2 linked regions of the Diceros bicornis minor genome follow. The main gene of each other region encodes a partner of the protein of the gene in region 2 in a complex. Links are inferred from orthologs where the notes say so. Each region holds a gene or a part of one and is shown on either strand. Other genes may lie near its edges.

Evidence for each region. The genes of interacting proteins can lie anywhere in the genome.
Region 1: RBL2 (region 2) and TFDP1 share a complex: the UniProt entries of both Homo sapiens proteins name them as parts of the DREAM complex. The link is inferred for Diceros bicornis minor from reciprocal best matches to the Homo sapiens genes RBL2 and TFDP1.

The regions. Positions count from the first base shown.
Region 1 is NC_080748.1:87,233,358-87,243,137, forward strand, and holds the start of TFDP1 (transcription factor Dp-1), read left to right. Parts: upstream 1-5,069; 5' UTR 5,070-5,087; intron 5,088-5,122; exon of another isoform or gene 5,123-5,198; intron 5,199-5,986; 5' UTR 5,987-6,049; coding exon 6,050-6,061; intron 6,062-9,701; coding exon 9,702-9,780. UniProt on the Homo sapiens protein: Can stimulate E2F-dependent transcription.
Region 2 is NC_080771.1:6,626,121-6,636,485, reverse strand, and holds the start of RBL2 (retinoblastoma-like protein 2), read right to left. Parts: upstream 4,296-10,365; 5' UTR 4,208-4,295; coding exon 3,968-4,207; intron 1,678-3,967; coding exon 1,547-1,677; intron 1-1,546. UniProt on the Homo sapiens protein: Key regulator of entry into cell division. Directly involved in heterochromatin formation by maintaining overall chromatin structure and, in particular, that of constitutive heterochromatin by stabilizing histone methylation.

The DNA of each region.
Region 1 (9,780 bases), on a different chromosome or scaffold from region 2:
CTGAATAGATGAGAGATTAGAGTAGGATACGAGTGGAGGAAGCGAGAGGAGATGGAGTTGTTTACCTCTATCTAGGTTTCTAGTATCAACAGCTAGGTGGGCACCATGCATTTCCTGAGCTAGTGGATGCTGGGGGGCGGAGCTGGTTTGGTAGAAGAGTCCTGAGTTCATGATCAGCTATATCATGTGTCGTTTGAAGGAATAACACACTTGCCCAAGTGCCTTACTGAGAAGTTGTGCTAATTATTATTCCCACCAATGGTGAATGAGGGTGTCCATGAAACCACGATTTTAAATAGTTTCCCCCAGAGGAATTTGTGTTCTAGTCATAGAATGGCAAACCTAGATTTGGAGAAAAATTAAGTATCTTTAGTGTTGGAAGCTTTAGACTGTAAGAGGAAAAGATGAAGGAGAAGTTTGCCTAGAATGGTGTGTATGCAATTTTAGAGAAATATGATAGGTTATATGAAGAAAATGTAATTAAACTTGCTTCTATCCCCTACCCTCCATCCCTCAGCCTGCAAGCCATCACCTCCATCCCTCACCCTCCATACCCTCACCCTGCATCTCTCACACCCATGCCATCACCTCAATCCTTCATCCTTCATCCCTCACCCCCATGCCCTCACCCTGCATCTCTCGCACCCATGCTGTCACCTCAATCCCTCATCCTCCATCCCTCACCTCCATCCCTCACCCTCTACGCCCTCACCCCCATGCCTCACCTCCATCCCTCACCCCCATGCCTCACCTCCATCCCTCACCCCCATGCCCTCACCCCCATGCCTCACCTCCATCCCTCATTCCCATGCCCTCACACCCATCCCTCACACCCATGCCCTCACTTCCATCCCTCACTCTCCATTCCTTAGCCTCTATCCCTCACCCTCCATGCCCTCACCCCCATCCTTCACCCTGCTTTTCTCACACCCATGCCCTCACCTCAATCCCTCACCCCCATGCCCTCACCCTCTGATATTACCCTCCATCTCTCACCCCCATGCCCTCACCTCCTTTGGTAGATGCTTTCTGGCCTTTGCCCTCTATGGTATTGGACCTGTTCTCCTAAAATCATCAATTACCTGATTGCCAGGTAGAATGACCTCTATTCACCTTTCATTCTACTTGATCCTGTAACACATTTGACACTGTTGATCACTCCCTCCTACTTGAAGCATATCCTTTCTTGGTTCTGCAAATCAATCGATCCATGTCATTAGGAATCACTTTTAACGTTTAGAGTTTGAACAACCCTACTGTTGGCAGGACTAGATGGACACCGAAGGCTTTGTCTATGGAGATTGGAAGGGCACCAACGTAGTGGTATGGGTGGGCTAACGACTCCAGTAGAGGTGACGAGGACCTGCAGGAAGCCCTTACTCCCCCCAGGCTGAGGGCACGGGGAGCAAGCACAGCTTAGGGACCTGAGCAGACAGTTGTGGAAGGGGCCCCCACAGGAGCTGGGGACAGAGGGACGCAACCACTGCCCGACACCTCTCTGTATACTCTCAGCTGGTCACTGCTCATCTCAAATGTCACCTTCTCTGTGAAGCCCTCCAGACTGCCTGCAGGGGGAACAAGGGTTCCTGCTTCTGTAATGCCCTTCCCCTATAGCGAAGAGTATTGTCTCCTCTTGTATTCGATTGTACGTGATCTGCCTTTCCTGTTTAAGCCATCCTCCATTTTACTAATCTGTGCAACCTCAGCACTCAGAGTCCCATCTGGCATGTATTTGAGCTCAAACATGTTTGGTGAATGAGGAATGCAGGAAAGGTAAAGGTTTTGAAATTGCGGTTCGTCTTCCTATCAGAGAACTAGATTTGGTCTGCTTATTTCTGAGCTAAAGGAGTTTGAACATCAGAGAAGCTGAGATTACTTATTGTCTGACTGCCCTTCATCTCAGCTTCATTGTAGCGGGTGGTTCCAAGGTCCTTCTCTGAACCCGTAAGATGAGTGGACAGGTAGCAGAGAAATGACCAAAAGTACTCAATTGTACATAAAGTCAAGTTTCTTAAAATTGTGCTGCAGGCTCCTGGGGCTGCTTTCACTCCTGGAAAGATGGAAAATGGACTCTACTGAGGAAGGAAAGGGTACAAAGAGGACTTGGGTCTTTCAGCCTTACATTGTAGGGTCCGTGGAAGAAAGTAACGTTGACATCATCGTAGCTAGAGCAATGGGAAGTCACACAGAAGGAACACTTTAGGATTGTGGAGTCAAATGGCGAAGGAACGGAAGGGATTTCTTTTGTTGTAAAAGCCAGAGAACATTTCAGATGAAAAGCCAGTCTAAGTAGTGAACAGCGCTGTGAGAGATAGTTGAGTAAATTGGACACTGTCGTCTTCCAGAATTAGCTGTATCCAAGGGTCACTTTTCAAAGGACTGTGGCTTCAGCCTGTAAGTGCTTGTTCAAGTGACTCAGTGATGGAGGCATGAGCAATATCCAAAGCATAATGATGCAAGGGCGTCAAGGACTGACCCTCCTTCCAAGAGGAGGACTTTGGATTTGACTGGCAGTTCTCAAAAGGAGTCGTGAACATAAGGAAGAGTAAGAGAGAAGTAAAGGCGTCTTCACGTGTCTGGGTGGCAGATGGGGCTTAGAGGCGGTGACCTCCTTGGGGAGAGGGCTGGGGGATTTATCTTGGGCTTGAGCAAGCACGTTGATTTACTTAAGTTTTACGATACACACAAATAAGCAGAACAAAGTTTTCCCAAGATGCCTTTATTTATATTTTACCAAAGAATGAGAAAGCGTCACTTGTCCACATCCCGAAACATCCCCCGTAAGTCCCACGAGCCCCGTCCCCTCCCGCTCTTCCCACCTCTTGACATCACCGTTGCTGAGGTGGCCCAGGAAGATGGGAAACAGGAAAGGGCTGGCGAAAAGACCAGTGTCGTTGAGGGGGGAGCCAAAGACAAGCAGGTATTGAACAAACAGATTTAGAATGAAAGTTTTCAAGGGATTAGAAAATTTCCTCTCTCTCTTTTATGGGGGTGGGGGAGGGGGAAGGATTTGTCTCATGCCCTAAGACTCAACAGACTGGACACACAAAGAGAGAGGGAGCTTTGGGGAGATGAGGACTTTTCCTGGGAAGGACCCCGATCACTTTCTTCAGAACCATTTTCTTGTGGTGTCCTGGACGATGAGGCGGGGCTGGACACCAGCCACTGGGAAGTGGATCAACACTAGAAGTCACGCTTCCTGAACAACTCTTGCCCCAGACACAGATGGCGATGGAAGGATCAGATGAATACAGGGAGTTGGGGTGCGGTACTTATCAAGAGGTTGCATTCCTGCAATCTGATCTAGAGACTTCAAGGCAAGGCAGTGGCTGAAAATATTTGGATCTTCAACCAAGAGAGAATTGTTACTTTTTAACACAGAAATGGGGGATATTTGACTATAGAGGAACAAGTGTTTTCCCTTTCCCCAAGTAAACCGGAGCCTCAAAGAGCTGTCATTGCTGTGGTAGCTCTTGTGAGTTCAGAATATTTCACTACAGGGATTTTTGTGCAGAAATTATTTCGAATATTACAGGTAGTCATCCCGTGTAAACAATATCGAATCACGGGAACCTTGAATCTGTAGGCAGAGGCTTAAGATTCCGTCCTCTGATCCTCCATTTCTTCCTAACTGTGAGCCCCTAGCTCTCAAAGGAGACTTGCTGTCCTGTGCACTTGGGTCCAAGGGCTGGGAAGGGGGCTTCCGGCTGCCATCTGGGGGTAAATAGCCAAATATAGTCAAAAACGAATTACTGTGAAAGAAAAATGGAGCTAGGGACATATGGCCACTGGAGGTACCAAAGGGAGGGATGTAGGTTCCGGTATCATGGGCACTTGCTAAGGGTAGAGCAGTGTAAATTCCACCAGCAGAGAAATAAGGTCCTTCTGTAGGACTTTCCCTCTGGAAGCTTTTAATGCACCCCCATCACGGCACCATCCATGTTTCTGCCCATGTGTCCATTGTGTGCTAATCTGGACAAAGAATGAAGATTTCTGCTGTCTTCAAGAAGAAATTAGTGCTCACTAAGGTGTTAACAGTTTAAGACTGGAGTAACCTAAACTGACCTCGCGCTAGGGGGTGTAATGCAAACACACTGCCCTTCGGTGCAGAGGCCTTTGCTCCCGTGCTCAAGTCCCGAGATGGTAATTATGCCTGTGCTCTTATGCCTGTGCTCGCTGCACACCGCCGTCTGATGCAGCCTTGACCTTTGGACTGACTCCCAGGCCCAGCCCGCCCTCTGCTGGGTCTCCAGGCCCTGGGCCCAATGCCCTGGTGGTGGTGGGCTGCAGGGAGGACAAGTCTCCAGGGCTCAGGGTCCACCAGGCGCTCCTGGAGATGAGAAGCAAACCGGCTGCCGAGTTTCCCTCCCCGGCACCATTCTGCACCAAGGACGCGCAGAATCTGGGCGGAGGGCCGAGCACGGACAGGAGAGCACCACCAGGTGGACAGGGCCCTCTGCGCTGCGCGCACACACATCGTCTCCTCCGTGCACCTACACACGCACCCGCCCAAACACGCCCACGTGCACAAACCTAGCCCGCCTTTCTCCTCCGCGAGTACACATACACACGTGCGCGCACACACCGATCTCTTCTCCTCCACGGTGCACACACCCAGCCTCTTTTCCTCCGTGCGCGCACATAAACACCTGTGAGCACAAAATCTGTGCCCTTTCTGCCTGTGTGCACGCACACCCGCAAATACACCCATGTGCATATGCACACACCTGGCCCCCCTCTCCCCTGCGTGCGTATGTGTACATGCATCCGCCCCCTTTCTCCTCCGCGTGTGCAGCACACACAAGCGTCCACACCCGGACCCCTCCCCCGCGTGCGCACCCGCGCGCGCACCGCCGCGTCCCACGCCGGGGCCCCCCTCCGCCCGCCCGCGCGCACGCACCGCGCACACGCGCACGCGCCGCCCATCCCCCTCGGGGCGCGAGCGCGGGCCGCACCGGCGGGAGGCGGAGGGCGAGGAGGAGGAGGGAGCCGAAGGCGCGAAAAGGCGCGCAGGCGCGCTGCGGGAGCCGGGCCCGCGCCCACGTCACCGCGCCGCGCACGTCACGCCGCCCGACGCTCCCTCCAGGGTGAGCCCCGCGCCGGCGCCTCGCAGGGCAGGACCCCGGCCGGGCAGGGACCCCGCGGCCGGAGCCGCCCGGACCGCTCCCGCGCCCGCCGAGTCCGCGCCCGCGAGCCAGGTGCGGCGGGCAGGCCGCGCGGCCGGGTCCCGAGGGCGCACGCGGGCGCACCCCGACACGACGGTCCCGGTCCGCGTCCCCGGACCCCTGCGCCCCCCGCCCGCCCGCGGGCCCCCAGATGACCCGGCCGCGGGGTCGGGGCCGGGGTCCGGGCGGGGCCTCCAGGCGGAGCCGCCGCGCCGCGTCCGGCGCGGTCGGGTCGGGGCCGGTCTGGGTCGGGGTCGGCCGAGCGCAGGGGTCCGGGGTCCGGGGTCCGGGGGCGGCGCTGCCCCGACTGCCGGTTCCGGGGCGCGCGGGGGCGGCCGCGGCCTAGTGACCGGCGCGCGGGACCCCGGAAGCCCACCTGTCAGCGGCGCGGTCGGCCGCGGGGGCGCGGGCGGGGGGCGGCGGGCGGACGGGCGGGCGGGCGCCCCGGGGCGCGCACTGCGCGGGGCGCGGGTCCCCTCCGGCGCGGGGTGAGCGGTGCCCTGCGTCCTGGGGGCCGGCCGTGTGCCAGGCGGGGGCGCAGGGCCTTTGTGTGGGCGTCCGGGGAGCACGGCCGCGGCTGGGGCGCCCGGGCATCGCCGGGCATCCTGGTGTTGGATGTGCCTCCGTCCGCCGGGATGACTTAAAATCCCAGCGTCGGGCTGCTTTTGCCAGCGGCGCTCTGAGGCGGGGCTGTGGTTGGAACGGAAGGCCCAGCACCCTGGAGGGGCAGCCGGGGTGGGGGTGCCGCGGGAAGGGTTGATATTGTGTTAACTTGTTTTCTCGTTCTTACTCATTTCTTGTTTTTCCTTCCTTCTTACCAGAAAAATCACTTTTCTTCTCTGGAGGGTGGACAGTTATAGCATCGATTTCACGGATCTGGTAACATGGCCAAAGATGTAAGTATGCCCGCCTCGTGCACAGACGGCCGTTGGCGCCGCGTTCTGTGGTTTTCCCGCTGCGGTTGAGAGTGACACCGTGCCGGCGGCGGGGTCTGCTGTCGGTGTCGAGAGCAAGTGCGGCGGCGCGGGGGGGGGGGGGGGGGGGAACCGTCGGGGCAGCTGGTGCTTGGCGCGGGTGTGGGCCTCCTTCCACACCTGGGTTTGCATCTGAGCCCCGGTGACAGACATCGTGTCAGCATCCGTGACACACTGGCCTCGAGTCCTCTCAGACTGGATGTGGACTCTGTCTTGTTGCAGGACAGACCCCTCAGTCGCTGGGATGGGGCCTGGGTCAGGCGCTGGTCGCATCCCCACTGCCGAGCCCCTGCGTGCAGAGTATGGGGAGTTAGTTCAGCCTGGGTCCGTCCAGTGCTGAGCACTTGTTTTGGCTCCCTTTGTCTCAAAAAATGAAACTTGGTGATTAATGAAATGTGGTGAAAAATTCTACTTTAGCTTGCTTTGTATTTGTCGTGAAACTAGAGAATATACTGAATTTTTAAATCTGTTCCAACAAATAGGCTTTTAGGTGCAAAAACAGGGTCTATTTAATGGCTCATGTGGTTCTTGACTACACTTGGTAAGATCAGTTAAATTCCCTGAAACCCCGCTGCACCCTTTAGTGTCTCGGAATGCATTGCTCTGTAAACATTAGCGAAGAGAGGCCATTTGCTTGTGTATTGCACAGGGTTGTACATACAGCTCCGAGGAGCTGCGTCTACCTGAACCACAGCCAGAGGTGGTGAAGATGTGTCCGTATCTGGGGACCGAGTGACCATGTCAGCCTTCCCATCAGTTCCGGGGGTTTAATGTTCTCTGAAGGTGCCAGAGGGCGCCCCTCGCTCTCACCGACCGTCCGGCAGGCCCTCACCTTAGGCGCTGGCTTTGGTTTGGTGGAGGGTGTGTGTGAACACACACTTGCACCCTGTGTGGTGTCCGTTAAGGGAGAGTCGTAATCTGTGTGTGATTGAGGTGGTTTATCGTCTCTCGTTGCATTTGTTGATGGTGGTGCCCAGTTCTGTGGTGTGTTTCTCCCAAGATGCAAGGCAGGTGGCCACGCGCAGTCGCATCCTTCAGAGGGCGCTGCTGGCCCCCAAGCCTGTTAGTCTGCAGTCCTGGGGTGCGAGTTTCAGGGAAGCGAGTTATCTGCCCTCTTTTATTACCTGACTGGAGGAGAGGGAGAGACTCCTTGCTGGGAGGCCCTGTGATTCCTCGTTGGCCTGGGAGGTAAAGACAGTCGAGGCTGCTGCCGCCTGGTTGCAGGGGAAGGACTTGTGAACGATCTTCTTCGGGGTCACTTCCTGCAGGCCACCCCAGGGCTTGATGGTGGGGTGGTTCCCCCGCATCTGGTGTTGGATCATCATCATGTGAGTTGGTGACCCTGTGGAGGGTTGGGCGCAGCGATGATAACCGGGTAGTGTGGGCTGAGAACCATCATGGGGCGAGCGGAGTTGAGAGGCCTTCCCTGTCCTGAGAGCTGGCGACACCAGGTGTGGCTGGAACCAGGTTCCACCAGGCATTTGGCCTTTCCTCAGGCTGCCTTAAGTTTTTTAAGTGGGGGTGTGACATTTGGGTTTGGAAGGATGATTTTGGCAGCCAGGGTTGGCGGGGAAGCAGCCGTGGTTAATCTCAGCTCTGGCGTTCCAGTTTGATCTTAGGTGTGAGATCAAGCCCGTAAGCATAGGTGGGAGCCAAGCCCCTGGGGTTGACGGGCGTCAGCCAGAGCTCTGGGGGTTCCGTGGAAGGCTGTTGGGGGCTGGGGAGGCTGGAGGGGGCTGGAGTTAGCTCTGGGGGTCACAGCGGAGGAGGACAAACTTAGGGGACCAGTGAGGTGTCAACCAGGCAGACTTTGGTGAAGAGGATGAGGCGAATGGCAGCTTCCTGTGGAGGTGCAGGGGACACAGCCAGGGGAATGGCTGGACGGGAGCAAGCCGGTTGATGGTGATGGGGTGGTGGGTGTGCACGGGTTTTAAAGGCAAGAGCAGCCCCTTGGGGGAGAGGGTGGTGGGCTGGGCTGGGGAGGGGTGGCAGGTGGGGCAGCGAGGGCCATCCTGACAGGTGAGCGGGACCGCAGCAAGGGCCAGTGGGCAGGCACCTGGGCTCGGATGGCCGTCGCAGGCAGATCCGCTGGACTGTGTCTTTGGTCGAAGGGCCCGATGTCGTCTGGTCTCCCAGGAGGACTGGGAGTGTCCCCCGTCCTGTCTTGGTTAGAACCCCGGACGAGCCAGGCCCCTGGTTCCCATGTGTTGCCCACCTTGCTTCTTGGAGTGGGAACGGAGGAAGGTGGGGGGGGTGTGGCCATCCCTGCGTCTGTGCTCTGCTGCTGTGGAGCGCCTGTGCCGCACAGGGAGCGGCGGGGCCGGCCACACTCAAGGAGCTTGCGGGCGCGGACAGCAGACAGGCTCGGGCCGGCTGGGTCTCTCAGGAGCAGCGCCGTCTTTGCTGAGATCGGAGGGCGAGGCAGCGAGCCCAGTGGGTGTGCGGGCGGGCGAGCATGGCACTGGCACTGACTGCACACCTTACATCTTCTGTGTCTAGATCAGAAATAAGTGTTTGTGTATTTTTACAAAAGTATCTAGACAAAACGCCGTGATTCCTTTGTTTCAAAAAGCCCCCACAGTTTCCAGCAGATGTGAAAATAAGCCTGAGTCTTTGGTGGTTTGTAGCTAATATTTCATTTTAAAAGTGCGTTCCTTCCCCTGGAGGTGCGCCACAGAATGAGCGGGCGCGTGAGGCGCCCTGGGGCGAGTGTCTGTCCTGCTTCTCTGGTTTTACTCTGGTCCTCGTAGAGGGGAGATGCTGCCTGGGGAGGTGTGGTGCTGACCAACCCCAGATGCCCGCTCCTACGTGTCTTGGGGAAGCCGGCCTGGAGGCTGGGGCAGGAGCCGGCTCGGGAGTCAGCCTTCCCTCTTTCCTTCAGCATTCACTGATTTGGATTAAGTTGGTACATGCTCGAGGTGAAAAATCCAAGTGGTAGAAATTCGAATTCAGTATCCACACGTGGGGTGGAGGGGGAGGAAGCAGGAAGGGAAGGATGCGGCCGGCACGGAAGGACACGGAGTGGAGGTTATAGAGCCGCAGGCCCCATCGCTCCCCAAGTGACCACTAGCAACAGTTTGGGGGTGACTTCCAGAAGTTTAACCTAAGAGAATTGATTGGCTGCTGTTGGCGTTTGGGGCAGGAATTTCCTTGCTGGGGGACTGGCCCACACAGGGACAGTGGTCCCTTCCTGGTCCCTCGACAGCCGCGAGGCCGCCACCACTCTCATTTGCCGACACCCTGGGGCTCAGTGTAGCCTGGAAGAGAACCACCGTAGAGGTGTCCCGTCAGCGCCCGCAGGGGACCAGGCCCGCCGCAGACTGTCCCTCTGCTCTCGTGCCTGAGGCTCAGAGACCATCCTAGACGTGCATTCTGGAGGGTTTTTCCACAGTCGTGAAGAGAATCTAGGCAGGGCACAGGCCGTGGTGGCCCGCGTTCCAGTCACTGTCCTGGAGCTGCGTAGGTCTGTGCTTCCACATCTGGGGCCATTTCCTCCATCACGGTCTTGACACCCTGGTAGGTGACAAATGTAGTTCATTGTCTTATTGACTTATACACCTAGGTGCCTGTGAATTTACATCGTGCCGACCGTGGCCCCACGGACAGAACACCACCGGGCAGGTCGGCCTCGCTGGGTGCAG
Region 2 (10,365 bases):
CACAGGTATGTAAGAATTTCTTTAGAGGCTACCCCAAGAAGTAGAATTGCTGAGTCAGAAAAGGTGCATCTTCAACTTTACTGGATACTGCCAAATTTCCTACTAAAGTGACTGTGCCAAGTTATACTCTCACCTGTGTATACTAATAATACAGAGGTCCTGTTTCCCTACATAATGACCAAACTTGGTATTATCTGACTTCAAATCTCCCCAATCTGATGAGAATGAAATGTTATCTTGTTTTTACTTTGAACTTCCTTGATTAGTCGCGAGACTGAACATCTTTGCCTATATGTATTAGCTATGTGAGTTTTGGCCTTTGTGGAATCATATTCTTTACCCTTTTTAGTTGCTGTTTGTCAATTATTTAACCATTTGATAGTAGTTCTTTATATAATTCTGGATACTGATCTTTAGTCAATTATATGCATTGTAAATATCTTCTCCCAATCTGCTCTTTGTTTTTAATCCATTAGTCCATTATGGCAGAAAAGTAAATAATCTGAACCCATAGGTAAAAATTTAAAGATAAAAATTGAGTTTTTGAAATGGAAATAAAACTGAAGCCCGGATTGTATTACTTGCATTAAAATGTTAGATAACTTTAGTTTACTATAGTTTTTCATGATGATTCCATAATTTGATCTTTGCTTCTAAAGTTCCTCGTCTGTCACTTAACTGGATTACTCTGCCTCCATTTCTCTTCTTTGTAATGATTATACTTTTGCAACTTATTTAAGTCCACTTCTGCAGGATTACAGCCCAGGTGTTCAACTCTTTATGCACTGCCTCTTGTTCTTAAGCCTAAATATAACTCAGGATGGAGTTCAAGGTTAATAAATAGAATACAGCTGAAATATTACATTTCTTGTTAATTATTTTAATAGTAAGTGATTTTTTAAACCATTAGGTCCATAAATTTTGACAGTGGTATTTCCCCCAAATTGCCAAACATCCTTTTCCCACCAATCTTTAATAAGCCATAAGAGAAAATTCACCCAAAAGGCACAAATAGTAAATGTAATCAATTAAATTACACAACAGATAGAAAAAGCAATTTCTGCCTCTTCTTTAAAACATTACTTGACCTTTTCTATAATAGATTCTAATAGTGTTGCTTATCTCCCGAAGAGGAAACCGAGAAGTATTTACATGTTCCGTATATAAGTGCTGTGCATGCAGTTCAAAGTTTAATACCATATAATATTTTATTTACCTTTTCAGTCCAGAGTATTTCCTAAAGTTTCTCAATATCCTTATTTGGAATTCTCCCAATATTACACAATGATGAGTCAAAACCTTTAATAGTAAACTCTTCATACAAGTGCCTAATACCTTAAAATTCAAATATTTTTCACCAAAGAAGCAAAATAGAATGGATACTAACTTAGATGTGGTAAAGGGAAACCATGACCTAGCTTCTAAATTCAGCACTCCATAGGTACAAACGCTCAGAAAACGATGAACAAAGAGAATTCTTACTATCACTGTAATTTATGAGCTTTTAATGAGTCACACTCTACTTTTCAAATTCTAACATAATTACCTCTGCTCTGAACATCGCAGGATTCTAGTTAAAGATACATAGTTCCCTTCAACTGTCCCTTTGCTGACAGTTGGCACAGATTTTCTGCAAGCCACGTATAAGGCACATGCTAACCAATGAAGATCATTTCCCTGTAAAATAAAAGAAAATTGATTTTTACCTAATGAGCTATAGATATTTCAATATAAAAAAATTCTTACGTTTAAATTGAAAGTGTTATTTATATGTTTGTGGGAAACTGTATTTTCAGTGATGGCTGATCCCATGTTTCTTCTCATAAGGTAACATTGATGTTGTTCCACTGAGAGGGAGGAGTCTGTGTTTCCTTACTTTGAACTGTCTCAGCCAATAGCACAGGTGGAAGTGATACCACGTAACTTGCAAGATCATAAAAGGCAATACAGATTCCACCTGGCTCTGTCTCTCAGGACATGTGCCTTGGCAGTGCCAACATGGGAGCAGAACACCCTGGGCAAACTACTTAACAGTCACAGAGGCTCAATTTTCTTATCTGAGGACTGTGAGAATTAAATGAGTGACAAGTATAAAGCATAGAAAATACAAGAAATCAAAAGATACAATTCGATAACCAGTATTCTGTGTTAAATATCCATGAGCTTTATTTTCCATTGTACACTTCCATGAGCCTGACATCCCACAATATCTTACAGAATACCTGACTACAAGCTCCACAAGGGCAGGAATTTTTACATTTTGTTCACTGCTCTATTCCCAGCACCTACAAAAGTGGCAAAGAATAGGTGATTGTGAAATATTCACTAAATGAATAAATATTCATTCATTTATTGAGTAAACTGAGCTAAGAATCTGAGATCAAAGTCTTAAAAAAGTTGAGTAATCAAACATGTGTTTTCAGAAATAATTTACTAACCATCTATTATTTGTCACTTGCTTATATAACACGGGACTTCACAGGACTTAACCTCTGTGAATTGAAATACGTCAACTATATGGTGATAACGCTTGTTCTATCTAATCTAGATAGAACCTCAGGATTATCCTGAGGGTAAAATAAGAGCTTATTTTGAGGCAATTACACCCATCACCAAAAAAAAAGTCTTTCTCTCTGCCTGACCACAGGAACCACTGAGAAATAAATAGGAACATGGCCTTTTCAGCCTGATCACCTAAGTATATGATAGAGCTTTGTAAATTCTAAAGCACTGTCTATATGAGCGCTTTATGTGCCAGAAACTACACACTACCTGATTTAACCTTCGGAATGGTTCTGTGAGGTAGGTACAAATATCTCAAATTTACACAGCACAAAAGTGAGTTTTGGAGTGGTTAAGTAAATTGTCCAGAGTCACCTAGGTCTGTCAGGTTCTAAAGCCACTGTATTACTAGCTTTTCTTTCTTTCTCTTTTTTTGTAGATATAACAATGGGGAGAAGAAATCGAATTAAAATTCTATTGATGCAAGAATAAATAAAAAAAATAAGCCGAGTGAGTGACACGTTGGCAAAAACACCCTGTTACAGTCAAATAATACCTTGGGTTAGGCCTTCTCATTCTGAGCCTATTTGCCCTACTCTTTCCCCAAACTGTAAAACAACCTAAGAAAATCACGCGGCCTCCTGTTTAAATGCCACCCACACGGGCAGTCAAACAGCTAATAAACAAGACAGACTTCCGCGTCCCTTCCCATTGGCCCATGACGGGGAGGTGCCTACGGAGTGGAGCCTCACTGGCTAGAATGGCTATTTTTCTCATCTGCAGGCCCGCCCGAAGAAAGGGGCACAACACGCCTAAATCACAGCGACTCTGCGAGTCCTGTGCAAGGCCTGGGGCCACCAAAAGCCCCCCAAAGTCGTCGCGGCCTCGTGACAAAGCGGGGCGTGTGTCTATATCCAGCTGGGCAGAAAGTCCATTTCCTTCGCCCTGGGGAAGATTCGTCTTTGTTTACACCTCCGTAAACACAGCCCGCATCTTAACGCGTTTACGCAAACCGATGCCAAGCCCGGACAAAGGCCATTTGGCGCCGTCGGAAAGAAGTGAAGGAGAAGCCCACAAACCCGGCGCGAACACGGGCAGGTCCCCCGCCCTTCCCCGGGCGGTCCTGACACCCGCACCTGTCTGTCCTGCCAAAACGGTGGCTGTATTTTTGTCATTGTGACCCCGGCACGACCTCAGCCCCGCGCTGCTACTTTAGGGCAAGAGGTGACCCCGCTCGGAACCCGGCAGGGCAGAGCCGCGAGGCGGGTTCACCGTCGGGGCCGCTCAGAGCTCTGCCAGAGCCGGGTTCCCAGGCGCAGGGGGCTCCCACCCCTCTCCAGGGGACCCGGGGAGCCGCGCCCGCCGGAGGACCCCGCGGGCGCCGAGCGGCCAGAGGCGAGGCCCCTCCCCGCCGCGGGGCGCGCCCACTAGGCCCGGAGAGGCGCCCGTCTGCCCCCGGGCGCACCTCCAGCGTGTAGCTCTCGCTCATGCTCCGGTAGCTGTCCCAGGCCTCGGCCCGCGCCGCCTCGTCCATGTTGAGGCGGCTGCACAGCTCGTCGAACCGCTGCTGGGTCTGAGGGGCTGGCGACCGGGCCGGCTGCGCGGCGTCCTCCGCCTCGCCGTCGTCGTCCTCCTCCTCATCCGAGGCTGCCGCCGCCGGAGGAGGAGGCGGGGGTGGCGGCGACTGGTCGCCTCCCGATGGCATAGCGCACCCCGGGACGGCCGGTCCTCAGGTGAGCTGAGGGCCCGGGCCCGCAGCCATTCAAACCGCGAAGCACCCGCCTGTCGGCCGCCCGCACAGCCACTGCGCCGCCCCCAACGGCGCTGGACCTCACTTAGGCACCCGTAGTTCTGAGCACGGCCTGCTGGGAAATGTAGTCCAGGCCGGAGGCTCGCAGGGGTCAAAAATCATCTTTAAAAAATCAGCTCGCGTACTCTTTTTTTCGCTGAAGTGAAAGCAGCTTCTGTACATGTTAAGTGCTGCCTCTTCATCGTGAGAGCATCCATCAGGGCTATGCTGAAGACAAAACATCCAAGGAACATTGACATGTGAAGGTTTAGTGTCCACGGTGTCACCAGAAATAACATTCATCGCCTGAGTGTCCTTATGTAAAAAATAAGGATAATAGAAAGGACCTATATGCCTAAGTTCAAATTTAGGCTTCACTCCTAATTTATAGTTCTTTGCTATGTTTTAATTTTATCTGAGCCTTTCAAATAATTATTGGATTTTTTTTAAAGTGGTAATTCTTTTTTTCCCCATGGGGCAAATTTACGTTCACTATAAGTGACATATTCATACTACCCTCAGTCACCCAATTGGCTTAATTTTGTTCCTTTCTTTTTATTTTTCTTTCTCCTTTTGTATCTATAGTGAACTTGAATCACTATTTCAAATCTTCTTTGATTTATAAATGGGTAGATTATAAAACATTTTCATGCTTGAGGAGGTGTAGGCACTGCTGTTTTGCTGTGGTGTCGCTTCTCTCTCTCTTCACTGACCCTTTGAACCAGCCACCGTGCTGTGAGGAAGCCCAGGTCACTTGGAGAAGCCTATTGTCAAAGATAAATAAAGCCAGACATTAGTAAAAGGGGTGAAAACAGATTTTATTCAGCCACTACTAACAGTGAGGGAAAGAACTCAGATCCATTCTGATTTGGCAGAGGCAACTGGGTGATTTAAAGAGAGAATGAAGGAGTAGGGGTGGGGAGAGTGCAGAGCTCAAGCAAAAAACTACAAAGAGTTGGTGAGTGTAAATGTGACTAGGCCAGCTGTGTCTGCTAGCTGGCAATTTGTTGAAGTTAGTTCTCACCAAGTGCACAGGACCGGGGGCCCCTGGTCCTCAGCCCAGCCATGTTGGATGAGCCAGATTGGAAGCAGATCTTCCAGCCTTCCATCAAGCTGTCCCAGCTAATGCTGTATGGAGCAGAGATGAACCTTCCCACTGATCCCCGTCCAATTTGTGGGCAAAGGAAATTATTATTATTGTTTCAAGTCATGAAGTTTTAGGATGGCTTGTTATGCAGCAGTAAATAATCAAACACCTGTTAAGTGTAAGACATGTATTTATCAATTATCATGAAAGAAAAAAAATCACTTAATAATTGGGTGTTTTTCTTGGTAATTTTTTATGCCTCCACCAGTCTCTCCAATAGATTAAATTTGTTTAACCTTAAAAAGCTAAAATTACTTATGTATACACGTGGAATACCACTCAGCCATAAGAAACGATGAAATCCAGCCATTTGTGACAACATGGATGGACATCGAGGGTTTTATGCTAAGTGAACTAAGTCAGAGGGAGAATGATCTCACTCATAAGTAGAAGATAAAAGCAACAAACAATCACAAAGAGACAAAGATTGGATTGGTGGTTACCAGAGGGGAAGGGAGGAGGGAGGAGAGCGAAAGGGATGACTAGGCACATGTGTGTGGAGATGGGTTGTAATTAGTTTTTGGGTGGTGAACATGATGTAATCTATGCAGAAATAGAAGTATAATGATGTACACCTGAAATTTATACAATGTTATAAACCAATGTTACAAACCAATGTTACCACAATAAAAAAAATTAAAAAGCTAAAATTACTTAAGAATTGACAACATTCCTTCAAAAAAAGAGATAGGTTTTAAGTCAGAGCCACTTTTTGTGTGTGTGTGTGTGAGGAAGATCAACCCTGAGCTAACATCCATGCTAATCCTCCTCTTTTTGCTGAGGAAGACCGGCTCTGAGCTAACATCTATTGCCAGTCCTCCTCCTTTTTTTTCTTCCCCAAAGCCCCAGTAGATAGTTGTACGTCATAGTTGCACATCCTTCTAGTTGCTGTATGTGGGACGCAGCCTCAGCATGGCCGGAGAAGCGGTGCGTGGGTGCGCGCCCGGGATCCGAACCTGGGCCGCCAGTAGCAGAGTGCACGCACTTAACCGCTAAGCCACAGGGCCGGCCCAGAGCCACTTTTGATGATGGAGATTAACTGACTTGGACATAATTTTTGAACAAGTTCTTAAGAAAAGAGTTGAAATTAGATTCTTAGACTATGCTTAACAAACACTTATTTCTCTTATCTTATCTCCTTCTCCCAGAAGTTCGAGTGGCCATCTTAAAACACAAATCTGATCACCTCTTGCCTCCGCTAAAATGGTTTCCTGCTGCTCTTCTCAGGAAGTCAACACCCTGACAGCCTACAGGTTGCCTGTCTCCGTGCTCTCTCCCACACTTCCCCCGCATCTTCAATCACTCCTTCCATCAGTGAAGTACCACCTGAGATGTCAGTTTCTCAGACAGCCCTATTAAATATTCTCATGGCACTTATTATAATCATAATGAATTATTTACGTGTTTATGTTTCATGTCTATCATCCTCACTATGCTTTAAGATCTATGAGAGGAGCGACTGTCTCTCTTTAGTTCCATTCTGTGACCTTAGAGCCTACTTATGGTGCCCGGCATGTTATTGACTCACCATTATATTTATTGAATGAATGACTGCTTATGATAAGTAAGATATATCTTCTTCTTATTAGAGCCTTAGATTTTGTGCATGTAAAATCCTTACTCATGTTGTGATCTGATAGCCCAATAGAATGTCTGACCGTAAATGACAGTCGCCTAAAAATAAACTTTGTTTACATTATATTTATCACTTAAAATACATGAGAACTGTGAAACTTTGCCAAAATTTTTTATATAACAAAACACACAGGTCTTCAAACTTTTTGATCATGTCTCCCTAAAAGATATAACCTTCTAGAATATCTTAGTGTTGACATCTAATTTTTTTTTTTTTTTTTTTTTTGCTGAGGAAGATTCACCCTGAGCTAACATCTGTGCCAGTCTTCCTCTATTTTGTATGTGGGTCGCTGCCACAGCGTGGCCGCTGAAAAGTGGTGTAGGTCCACACCTGGAACCACACCCGGGCTGCCAAAGCAGAGCATGTCAAACTTAACTACTAGGCCATCGGGCCAGCCCCGAGATCTAAAATGTTTCATTAAAAGTTTGATCAGGTGCAAAGGATGTAATATCCAGCATGTAACTATAAACCTTTTAAAATAAAACCTTTTAAAATAAACTTTAAATATATCCAATGGACTCTAAATATCATGATTTGATACTCACTGTCATCCAATTTTAAAAATACATGAACAAAACTTCTCTTTAACAATTGGAAATTTTCTATCATTCCATTTTCTCTTTCCCCTCATATTCCCGTTCCTACTATCCCAACAAAATGTTATCCTAATATGTTTTGTGCTTGAAAGTCCTTTATTGATCTCTTTCAGATCTCCTTTCAGCAAAAATGTACAGACAAATTAATTTGTTTTAGTATCCTTCTGTTCATTCTTTTATGTCAGATTCATTGAGGTCTAATTTGCATGCAGTAAAATTCACTCTTTTATATGTACAGTTCTATGAATTTTGACAAATACATACAGTCACGTCCACCACAAACAAGAACACTTCCGTCATCCTGAAAGTTTCCTTGTGCCCCTTTGTAGAAAAACCAACCTCACATAGCCCCTGGTAACCACTAATCAGTTTTCCGTCCCCATAGTTTTGCCTGTTTTCCCAAATGTCATAGAAACATAATCATAAAATATGTAGCCTTTGAGTCCGGCTTCTTTGAATGTAGCAAATTGCCTTTCAGATTCATCCAAGTTGTTGCATGTGTCAGTAGTTCATTCTTTTTTATTGATAAGTAGTCTTCTGTTGTATGAATGTACCAACGTTTCTTTATCCATTCACCAGTTGAAGACATCTTGGTTGTTTCCAGTTTTTGGTGATTATGAGAAAATCTACTGTAACATTTATGTATATGTTTTCGTGTGACACGAGTTTTCATTACTCTTGGGTAAATACCTAGGAGTATGTTATGGACTGCATGTGTCCCCCCAAAATTCATATGTTAAAGCTCTAACCCCCAATGTGATTGTATTCTGAGATAGGGCTTTTAGTAGGTAATTAAGGTTAAATGAGGTCGTAAGTGCAGGGCCCTAGTCCATAGGATTGGTGGCCTTATAAGAAGGTGCCCAGGCAGACTAAGACAGAGTGGTATTACTGCACTGCATAGTAAATGTTAAACTTTATAAGAAACTGCCAATTTTTTTGCTAAAGTGGCTCTATCATTTTGCATTCCCACCTACTTTGAAATTTAAATTTATTTTCTGTGATCATGAAGCTATAAGTGTTAAATTCCTTTCAGATTGAGTGATCAGATGGCTTTTATTGAGACTATGGCTTGAACTGTGTTTGCAGTTTGTTTATGTGTCTCCCATAAACATTCAAAAAAAAGAAAAAAAAAAGTGCTGCTGCCAGCAAAAACTGTTCATTTGTTTTGAATTTCCACTTGAGGCTGCTATCTACTCAGGCGGGCTCAGGCCAATTTATATTTCACCTGGTATGTGAAGAGTCTCTTGTTGAGACCTCAGTTAACTGGCATTTTATTTGTGATTAATTCCAGTCAGGTGTTTGTGTCCCATATAGACTGATACCACGAGCCCAGCAGGTCTACCCCGCAAACCAGATTTGCTTATTGCGAATGAGGATCTGCCTGCCAAAAATTCAATCCACCGTATAAACTACAATTAGCTAAATTTAGTGCCCAGGGAAGCCTTGGCAATCTGGAATAAACACAGCCTGCCCTTTTAGCTCTTTCTGTCATTATAAACAATTATTGCCTTATGATGCCTACAAGGTGTGTTGGAGGGGATATTGGGCTACATACCATCAACTGCTCTGTACTGTTGAGTTTTTAAACACTTTGTCTATTTTTTTCTTCTTTCTTGCATTCAGGCTATAAGATGTTTCTTTTCACTGGGGTCACCATATGACATTTTGGTAACCCTTTTTCTCCTCTCTTTTATTGAGGAAGGGATACTTGCAAACTAGGTAACTGAGGTGGCTGGGAATGTGTATCCAGGTAAGGACCAACAGGCCACGAGTGAGGGCCTTGCTTTCAATGGAGGGCATAGATGTTAGTGATTGAGTTTAAGAAATCAATCTTGACCACAAAAGACCCCAAATAGCAAAAGCAATCTTGAGAAAGAGGAACAAAGCTGGAGGCATCACACGTCCTGATTTCAAACTATAGTACAAAGCTATAGTAATCAAAACAGTGTGGTACTGGCATAAAAACAGACACATACATCAATGAAACAGAATAGAGGATCCAGAAATAAACCCACGCATATATGGTCAATTAATTGACAACAAAGGAGCCAAGAATATACAATGAGAAAAGGGTAGTCTCTTCAATAAATGGTGTTGAGAAAACTGGACAGCTACATGCAAAAGAATGAAACTGGACCACTATCTCATACCATACACGAAAATCAACTCAAAATGGCTTGAAGGCTTGAACATAAGACCTAAAACCATAAGATTCCCAGAAGAAAACATAAATGGTAAGCTCCTTGATGTTGGTCTTGGCAATGATTTTTTGGATTTGACATCAAAAGCGAAGGCAACAAAAGCAAAAATAAACAAGTGGGTCTACATCAAACTAAAAGGCTTCTGCACAGCAAAGAAAACCATCAACAAAATGAAAAGAAAATATTTGCAAGTCATATATCTGATAAGAGGTTAATACCCAATATATATGAACAACTCATACAATTCAACAGAAACACAATCTCATTAAAAAATGGATAGAGGGTTTGAATAGACATTTTTCAAGAGAAGATATACAAATGATCAACAGATACATGAAAAGGTGCCCAAAGTCATTAATCATCAGGGAGATGCAAATCAAAACCACAATGAGATATCACCTCACACCTGTCAGGATGGCGATTATCAAAAAGACAAGAAATGATGGGTGTTGGCAGGATGTGGAGAAAAGGAAACCCTTGTGCACTGTTGGTGG